3 linked regions of the Macaca mulatta genome follow. The protein of the gene in region 2 purifies or fractionates together with the protein of the main gene of each other region. This does not show direct contact. Links are inferred from orthologs where the notes say so. Each region holds a gene or a part of one and is shown on either strand. Other genes may lie near its edges.

Region 1 (3,523 bases), on a different chromosome or scaffold from region 2:
CAGAGTAATTAAAATACAAAAACAAAAAACAACAACTATCCTTGATGTAAATGCACTTTGAAAACCCATAATTCTGCAATTCTGGCTTTTGGGATCCAGATATCTAGGAAACTCAATATGGATAAATGACTTATTTCGATTTGAAACCCAAGTTAGTACGGCCTTACAGAATCCTCTCTAACCATGCACAAGGCTCTGAATTTGTTTCCCACTGGCAGAAACTGGCCACAAATCACTCTACTGTTGAGCTTCAGGGTGGCAGCAACTCAGGTGGCTGAGGTTAAAGACAGTTACAGATGACACAGGAGAGAGCTGAACATAAACTGCTTACTTTGCGGCATTGATGAGATGAGTTGTGCCATGGTCCCAGCCTTGGACAGGGATTTCTATCACCATTAAGTACTCTTTTAAGAGCTTCTCCTTCATCTCATTTTCAGGATCTGTCAAAAAGTGAACTTTCAAGTCTTCAAATCTTCCTCGGTCTCTGTTAACAAGTGGAACAGCTCGGATTTCTGAGGGAAAAAAAATAACACATAAGTAAAATCGTATTCTACTAAACAAGGCCATAGGTAAGTAGATCGCATTTTGAAAGTGTGTAAAATATATAATTTACAGAATAGAAAACTATTCTCAGCCACAGTTAAACCCAAAAGGGAAAACAGAATGTGCTACAATCTAATATAAAAATGCACTGTTTCCAGGAAACTCACAGAATATTAACCAGCCTGGAGGGGGTGGATCTTATTGGTTGAAGTCCCAGGCTTTAGAATCAGACTGACCTGAGTTTGAATCCTGGCTTTTGTCAAGTTGTGTGGCATTAGGCAGGTCAGTTGACCTCTCTAAGCTTTAACTGTCTAATCTGTAAAATAAGGCTACCAAGCCCTACATCTGACAAGAATGCTAAGAGGATAAAAATGCAATAAAATAATATATCCAAAGCACAGTGCTTTTTCCACATGAAGCTATCAAAATAACAGCCAACAGGCCAGGCACGGTGGCTCATGCCTGTAACTTTGAGAGGCCAAAGCGGGAGACTGCTTGTCCCCAAGGGGTTGAGGCTGCAATGAGCCATGATTGTGCCACTGCACTCCAGCCTGAACAACAGAGGGAAACCCTGTTTCAAAAAGAAATAAAAAAGCTAACCTGACAGGCATTTACTTGTTCCATAACAGGCACTATGTGCCTTAATTTATCATGTATGAAAGTACTTTCCAAGTCATATTCAAAAAGATATGAGGGTATTATGAGTTATTGCTATTGCATTACTCTTACTAACCAAGCAAGTCACAGAACAATGCATTTAAATAAAAATAAGATACTTAAATAAGATTATTTCAATAAGAAGCAAAAAAACCCCTGATGTTTCAGTGTCTAGTTACAAATCTGAATTAATGCAGTTTTCTCACCAGGCCCACTGTCCTTCAGGGTCACCAAGGGTACAAAATGATGGCTGTCATAGCCGAGAACAATGGGGTATCTGTAGCATTCCTGGGCAGGCCAATGTAGAGGCAAGTAAATTCCACCCACTTTCAAAGGGGCGAAATTGGAACCTGATTCCAAACTTCTTAGCATTTTGTCTGTTCAAAGAAAGAGAAAGAAAAATGAGACCCTTAGGTGACTTTCATCAAATTCCATTTCACTCTGTTACCTGAACTTTGGCAGTGTGGTTTTCTCGACGAGCCAAGCCATAAAGCTGAAAGCATTTAAGTACAGATATGTGATCTATAGGCATCTCACCTGAAATGACAATGATTGGCCTTCTGAGGATGTTGCAAAGGACAAATATGTGTATTTCTTCCAGTGAGTTGTACTGAAGTCCACTTCGGGCCATGGGTGTGTCTGTGGAAGCCATTTTGATAAGGTTGTCCCATTCATCATTCCAGTTCTAAGGGGAGGGGGGTGAAAGAAAGGAAAAAAAAAGCTTGAATGTACCCTGTACTCCCTGTACTAAAAAGTCATTCTGACATCACTCTACAATTATTCATTTATATAACTCAGCTTATTTTTCCCCTTTCATGAAACTATCATTCAAATGATCACCCTTTTTTCCCCATTTCCATTTTCTTCCTTTACTTTTTTCCACTACAAGGCAAACTCAAAAGTTGGGGAGGACGGGACAGCACCTGCTTTAAAAAAAAAAATCCCTGATGAGGTATCACATTGCAGCCCCTTATCCAAATGTTCACAAAAATTCCAAACTTGTGACTGAGGATGGTGAGGCACGTGTCTTAATCTTATTGGCTGGCTCAGCAAAGCTAAGGGCAATCAAACCGAAAAACAACAAAACACCAGTGGAAAAGGCCATGATCAAAAGACTTGCTGCTACAGGGAACAGATGCACAGCTGGGAATCTGCTAACCAAAAACAGGGCAAGAGCCTTGGGTGAGTCCCACTGGAGGTTTCTGGTGTTTTCCATTGAGTATGCTTCGCTTAGACAAATTCATGTGACCTAGTCCATCAGATGCTACCAGAGGGCAGGGACTCGTCCAGGGGTACCCTATGCCCACCATGGAGCTCTGTCAGTAGATAATTACGGGGAAAAACATACCCGAGTATCATAGCAAAGCCCCGTTTCAACAAATTCCTGAGATTTGAGAGACTCCAGTTGCCAGCGGAATTTAAAGTTGCGTGTGTCTGTTTCCTTGAGCGTGCTGAACAGCGCCTTCCTCAGTACCAGGTCTGTGTCCTGAACGCCCCACATGTACTGAGAAGTGGCATGCATGAGGCAATTGCCATCACCTGAGGACAGAAAGGAAAAGAGAAGGAGTCAAGTTATCTGCATGGAAGGCCCAGCAAAGGTTTCAGAATAAACCAGCCCTACTGCTATTCTAGTGGACTGAATGGTTTAATTTGGTTTAATTTCCTAGTCAAGGGCAAACTGATATTTCATAAGATGATGACAGCTTTAAGGAAAAAACAGTTCTTTTTATTCTTCTTTTTAATGAATGACACCAACTGCAGAGGAGCCAGGGGACCTTGGTTCTAGCTTAACTCTGCTCCTACCTAGTTCAGGTGACCTGGGGGAAATTCCTTGAGCTCTCTGGGCATTTTTCCTGTTTGTGAAATGAGGGCAGTGAGTGACGGTCTCTAAAGCCCCATTCCTTCCTACCATCCCCTGATCTGCCGGTGAAGGCACTGGCATGGCTGCTCTCTAATTCTAAGGAAGCACACACAAGGCTGCACGCACAAACCAGGAAGCAGGCATGGCTTGCTAGACAGGGATGGTCTGGCTGTGACTCAATGGCAAATGACTTGACCATTCCACTTTAGCCTTTGGGCCCTGGGAGTTTCCTCTCCTGGTGTGTAAAGTGGCGTTGACAACACTGAATTACCTATGGCCTGCTAGTCCGGCTCTCAAAAATGCCTTATGCAAACCTGCTTGTTAGTAACTGTAAAGTACAAAAGTTAAAAAGCACCTGGGTGTCTAAATTTGAAAATAATTCAGTGTTTAAGGCTGACATTTTGAGAAAAAAAAAACAAAAAACAAGTTTAATTGTATGCCATTAATTTGTGACATTTCCAG
Region 2 (3,313 bases):
ACGAAGTATTGATCCTGGGCGTGTCTGTGGGGGTGTTGCCAAGGAGATTAACATTTGAGTCACCGGGCTGGGAAAGGCAGACCCACCTTCAGTGTGGGTGGGCACCATCTAATCAGCTGCCAGTGCTGCTAGAATATAAGCAGGCAGAAAAACGTGAAAGGAGAGACTGGCCTGGCCTCCCAGCCTACATCTTGCCCTTGAACATGGGACTCCACGTTCTTCAGTTTCAAAACTTGGACTGGCTCTCCTTGTTCCTCAGCCCGCAGATGGCCTATTGTGGGAACTTGTGATCGTGTGAGTCGATACTTAACACACTCCCCTTTATGGATCTATCTATTCCATTAGTTCTGTCCCTCTAAAGAACCCTAACACAGCCAGGCTCCCACTCACCCCCTTGTCTTGGTGCCTTGGGAGAAGGCAACAGCAGGAGCGTTTTCCCGTGCCAGCTGCTGTCAATACTGCTCAGTCCCTGCACCCCAGCTTCCAACACACATTCTCAGAGCAGTCACAGTAGCAAGAACGTTTATTATAAAAATAGGTGGATAGAGTAAGTGTGCTTTAACTTCCGGACAGATGACAGTGCTACTGCGATGCAGTTTCTCAGGGCAGACATGCGGCTCTGCAATGGCGGGGGCGGCCCCCCTAGTGTGATGCACAGCCGCAATGCTCCATTGGACAAACCTCCTGGTTCAAGGCAGAGAGGAGACACCTTATGCTACAGAACAGGATGGGGCTTCCACCCTAAGGACCATACAAGTGACCCCCATAGGCAGCCACCCCTTTCTGGCAAGCTGCGGCATGCCCAGGTGCAGGCTAGGGGAGGGGCTGGTACGCTAGCACTAGATTGCTCTGGCTTCAGCCTGATGGAGACACAGACCAGGACCTCCCTCTGCCAGATGTTCCTAACCCCATCTCCACCTCCAGCCTCCAGCCTCACTGGCAGTTCCCTGTGACCCAGCCTGTTCCATAGCCAAAGGGGGACCAACGGGAATGATCACAGTGCCCCGCACCTATTTAGGGGCCTTGGATCTCAGGAGAGCTCAACCCATGGCATCTGAGAGTACCCACCCTGTCCCTGAGGGCAGCTGCACCGGGCCAGGGGGCCGTAAGGGCACGGGTGAGTCTCAGTCACTGGCAGCACTCAGCCACATGCCTGAGGAGCTCTTCACCTTGCTCGTCACTGAAGCACTCCAGGCAGTGAGGGCACTGAAGGTCCCCCTGGCCTCTCTGGGCCATGCCAGGATGCCCGCCCTCTGCAGGGGGTTCCAACTGCTGGGCCCCAGTCCCAGGCCTCCAGCCACCAGGCACCATAAGCTCCAATGCATCGGTGGCCAAGTACTTGGCAGCTTTGCTTCCAGCATGGATCCGGCAGGCGTCTGGCTCCTGAGAATCCTGGAGAAAAGGCAAAGGGTCTATTTACATGGGCTGTGCTGAAGGTCACAAAGTCTGGTCTCAGGTTCCAGCAACTAGAGGTACTTCATCTCTCCCTGAGCGGAACTTCAGTCCCTCACTTTGCTTCCTGCTGTGCCCCAGAGCCCAGACAAGGGGGTGCTCAGTGAATGACTGAGGAGATCGCACCCACGCTCCCTCATGCGCTCATGAAGAAACAGGCCCTAGTATGGTCCACTCCGTAACCCCTTGGTGGAAGTCCTGTTCAGTTGGACCCATCGGCCCTAGGAGACCCGACTGATAAGTTGGCCCTGATGATGTAGCCCACACACCACTACAGAGTGGAGGTGGCAGAGCCTCTGGTGGGGAGCTGGGAAAACTGAGTCCAAACCCTACTCTGTACCTCCTCTGTGGGGCTTGGGGTGCTCAGCACTCTGGGGCTCAGGAGGTCCTTCAGTAGCAGCAAGAGGTATCCCTGGCTTGGCCCCACCAACCACTTGGCACAGCCTGGCATGCGTTCTCCAAACATCCGTCCTGAAGCACCGCAGCCTGCAGCCCTCACTGCTTGTCTGCGAACTTCATTCCAGTAGGCCTTGGTGCTTCCACTTCCTGTCTGAATGTGGACTTTCCCAGTGGGACTACAGCTTATCACCCAAGCTTCAGCACCACTGTCCCTGGCTGTGCCACCTAGGGACTGAGCAACCCTCGAGGGGCCACAGGCTACTGTTGAAAGGGACACAGAGGCCACTTAGTACAAAGTCTGCAGGCCCCACCAGAAACTTGACCCTCAGGGGTAAGAATCTGGGCCTGCAAGTCTGGAACCAGTTCCTCGGGTCCGAAATCTTGAGAGGTGGCCTGAGACCATCCTCATGATTGTACCAACAGTGATCCTTCAATCCAAATCACATGCTTCCTTGAATTCGTGAAGGCCAGAAAACCCACAGGCAAAACCAAATCCCAGGAAAACCCACAGGCAAAACCAAATCCCAGGAAAACCCACATGTAGGTCTGTTGCAAGATGTTCCCATTCCTGCCTAGGGGACATGCTGAAGAATCCCTGTGCCAGGGACTTAGGAGAATCTGAAATTGGGGGATGGGGAGCCACCCATACACATTCCATTCTGTGATGCCAAGAAGGCTGCGGGGGCTGGGCAGGGGCTCGAGGCAGGGCCTGCTGTGGCTGGTGAAGCCTCCAGTGCCTCCTTGTCAGCCTGTGAACTTAACGGAGGAAGACACAGTGCCCCGCCAGGTTCCTCCTCCCTCATGCACAAGTACAAACAGCTGCCTGTGTCTAGCCCTCTGCTGCAGACTTAGTCCAAGGGTGTGTTAGAAAAGGTGTCCACCGTGACTCTCTTGTGCCCTTCAAGCAGAGAATCTGAAGCCACTGAGGCCCAGTGGCTGCTTGGAGCAGGGCAGTGGGGTGGCCTCACAGCCCCACGATCCCTGTTCACACCCTGAAACACGGGGCAGCTCAGCTTGGCCTCCCAGCTCCAGCCCGGGGTGCATCGTTTCTCAAGAGGTATCACTACTGTTCAGGCTATGCCAGGAGAGGAAGCTCTTTGAGTGGGGCCCAGGGCCATTCCCAGGGCCAAAATTGTGTTAGATACTTGATGAGGAGCTAAATAAACAAACTTCTCCTGGATTTTTTTTTTTTTGAGACCGAGTCTGGCTCTGTCGCCCAGGCTGGAGTGCAGTGGCTCGATCTCGTCTCACTGCAAGCTCCGCCTCCCAGGTTCACACTATTCTCCTGCCTCAGCCTCCCAAGTAGCTGGGACTACAGGCGCCCACCATCACGTCCTGCTAATTTTTTGTATTTTTAGTAGAGATGGGGTTTCACCGTGTTAGCCAGGATGGTCTCGATCTCCTGACCTCATGATCCTCCCGCCTTGGCCTCCCAAAGTGTTGGGATTACAGGCGTGAGCCA
Region 3 (2,837 bases), on a different chromosome or scaffold from region 2:
ATAAACAAGAGGCGCTGTTTAAGCCTCAGGCTAAAGATGATATAAATAGAGGTGCACCATCCATCACATGTGTCACACCAAGAGGACTGTGCAGAGATGAGGAAGACACCTCTTTTGAATCACTTTCTAAATTCAATGTCAAGTTTCCACCTATGGACAATGACTCGACTTTCTTACATAGCACTCCAGAGAGACCCGGCATCCTTAGTCCTGCCACGTCTGAGGCAATGTGCCAAGAGAAATTTAATACGGAGTTCAGAGACAACCCAGGGAACTTTGTTAAAACAGAAGAAACTTTATTTGAAATTCAGGGAATTGACCCCATAGCTTCAGCTATACAAAACCTTAAAACAACTGACAAAACAAAGCCCTCAAATCTTGTAAACACTTGTATCAGGACAACTCTGGATAGAGCTGCGTGTTTGCCACCTGGAGACCATAATGCATTATATGTAAATACCTTCCCACTTCTGGACCCATCTGATGCACCTTTTCCCTCACTTGATTCCCCAGGAAAAGCTATCCGAGGACCACAGCAGGTAACTGTTTTGCGTTAACAAATATATTATTATGTGTGAACACACATTTTGCCATACATGGACAGATATGCATCTCTTTTACGTTATCTGACATCCTTTTTAAACTACTGTCTAGCCAAAGTTAGGGGTTTCAGAAAAACAAGTCCTATAATAAATGACATGAAATTAGAAAAGCTGAATATGGTAAAACTATTGTAAAGTATCTTAGAATTTATGTCATTTAAAAATTCATGTTAAGCCTTATCCGTATCTATTGTGGTGTCACTTTCTTAGTTCCTTATTCAAAGCTTGTTTACTCAGGATTAATAAGATTATTAAATTTCATAGTGTGAAACAAATGCTGTTTTATTTAATAGTTTCTGTATATCATATTCATCTTTATAAGAATTCACGATCTTATGTAAATAATTGCATCTTACATTCCTATTTATCAACATAAGTGAACTATCTTTCAATGAATACTTCTACTATATCCTCAGTTATATAGTACGTAGATCTGTAGGGTTTAGTTTTGGTTTTGGTTGCTAATCTGGAAATGAACATGTAGCCTAGTATATTTTTAAAATAGTCTCTGCATGTGTATGATATCAGATATTTTATTCAATGTTTCTAAATCTCACAGACTTATGTCCCCCAAACCACTCCTGCCCTCCCTTTTAGATTCAAGTTCCATCACAGAATGATTCTTTTAGTTAAAAAAAAAGTTTAATGTCTGAAAGCAAATGAAAACTATAAAATTTTTACAAAAAACAGAAGCTTATGAAAATAGATTGATGTAAATGTCTATGTAACTTGCAAACATTTGTCTGATTTCTCTTTGCCTTGAGATTTTTTTTTTTTTAAAGTTGTTAATACCCTTTTGCTTTAAGTACACTTATAGGTTATAGACTTAAATCAGCATGCAAAGAAGGCAGTTGTCAAGCTGTGGTATATTTTAGTAGTGGGAAAAACTAGGCATGGCTGACAATAAGTTTTAATTATAACCTCACTTAGGTTCTTGTTCATTATACTTTATTTCACATCATAGTCTCTGTTATAGTTGCTACTAAATGAAACAAATTAAACAATTTCATTTATTGCAAGTAGAATTCCTGTGGAGCTGTGAAGTGCATCAGTTCTAATGCTTGTTACTTTTTTCTCTATTATATGTCTTGCTTGTTCTTTTACTAGTCTGTGCATTCATGTTTCAGTAGATGGCACCCTGCATTGTACATTTGCTTTCTATACTACAGCAAGGGAAACAGCTGGTATGTGATTACAACTTGATGGAAAAGTATTCAGCTTAAAAAATTCAGGAGAATTAGTGTTGAGTTGTCACAAGACATGGGGCATAAGGTTAGATAATTGATATTTTAGCAGAAAAAGCAAAGAAATTAGTTTGTTTTGAAGACCATGTTACAGTTTAGGATGGAAAGAATATTTCTTAAAGTGAGTTTTTTAAAAAACATTTTAAGCTATTTTATTTGTATTAATAAAGCTAGTATTATACAAGCTAGTATAAGTACAAAATTCCTGAGTTGGGCCAGGTACGGTGGTTCATGCCTATAATCCCAGCACTTTGGGAGGCTGAGGCAGGAGGATTGACTGAGCCTAGGAATTTGAGACCAGCCTGGGCAACACAGTGAGAACTTGTCTCTACAAATACATATAGATATATAGATATTTGTAGCTGGTTGTGGTGGCATGCGCCTATTGTCTCCAGCTACTTGGGAAGCTGAGGTGGGAGGATTGCTTGAGCTAGGTAGTTCGAGGTTGCAGTGAGCTGTGATGGTGCCACCACACTTCAGCCTGGGTGACAGAGCAAGACCCTGTCTCAAAATAATAATAATAATAATAATAATAATAATTTTTTTAATCCTGAGTTGTTTGTAGATAGTAACAAAGAGAAGTGAAATTTTTGGCTGCATATTTAAAAATTTTACTTTATATCAATCATTACTACTAAACATCTATTTTATATATTCAGCTATCATAACCAAGACTAAAGTGTATCAGATTATTATTGTTCTATGTGATTTTCTTTTTTACTTTGCTGAGTCAGTGAGTGGGATCCCAACTAAATTCTATGAAGAGATCAAATCTGAACTAAAAGTTCTTAATAGAGAAAAATGAATATGGACTTAATAGGTAAATTGGGAGCAGAAGATTGGCTTACCAAATTTAGAAGCTAAATTGCTTCTGATTTAATTTCTTGCTATTTTATATAAATAAGGACTATCTTTAATAATCTTTTATTTCTGGCCATATCAATTTCCCATTACAGTGATTTGTACTTTTTTGTTTAAAACTGAAAACATT

What was found. The genes of interacting proteins can lie anywhere in the genome.
Region 1: the proteins of TNIP2 (region 2) and TNFAIP3 purify together in Homo sapiens (affinity purification with western blotting; 5 studies listed by BioGRID and IntAct, with this or other methods). This does not show direct contact. The link is inferred for Macaca mulatta from reciprocal best matches to the Homo sapiens genes TNIP2 and TNFAIP3.
Region 3: the proteins of TNIP2 (region 2) and TANK purify together in Homo sapiens (affinity purification with mass spectrometry; 3 studies listed by BioGRID and IntAct, with this or other methods). This does not show direct contact. The link is inferred for Macaca mulatta from reciprocal best matches to the Homo sapiens genes TNIP2 and TANK.

The regions. Positions count from the first base shown.
Region 1 is NC_133409.1:42,967,768-42,971,290, reverse strand, and holds part of TNFAIP3 (tumor necrosis factor alpha-induced protein 3), read right to left. Parts: intron 2,740-3,523; coding exon 2,549-2,739; intron 1,886-2,548; coding exon 1,738-1,885; intron 1,578-1,737; coding exon 1,407-1,577; intron 513-1,406; coding exon 332-512; intron 1-331. UniProt on the Homo sapiens protein: Ubiquitin-editing enzyme that contains both ubiquitin ligase and deubiquitinase activities.
Region 2 is NC_133410.1:2,885,767-2,889,079, forward strand, and holds the end of TNIP2 (TNFAIP3-interacting protein 2), read right to left. Parts: intron 1,393-3,313; coding exon 1,170-1,392; coding exon of another isoform or gene 1,129-1,169; exon of another isoform or gene 992-1,128; intron 685-991; coding exon 527-684; 3' UTR 506-526; downstream 1-505. UniProt on the Homo sapiens protein: Inhibits NF-kappa-B activation by blocking the interaction of RIPK1 with its downstream effector NEMO/IKBKG.
Region 3 is NC_133417.1:66,041,897-66,044,733, forward strand, and holds part of TANK (TRAF family member-associated NF-kappa-B activator), read left to right. Parts: coding exon 1-539; intron 540-2,837.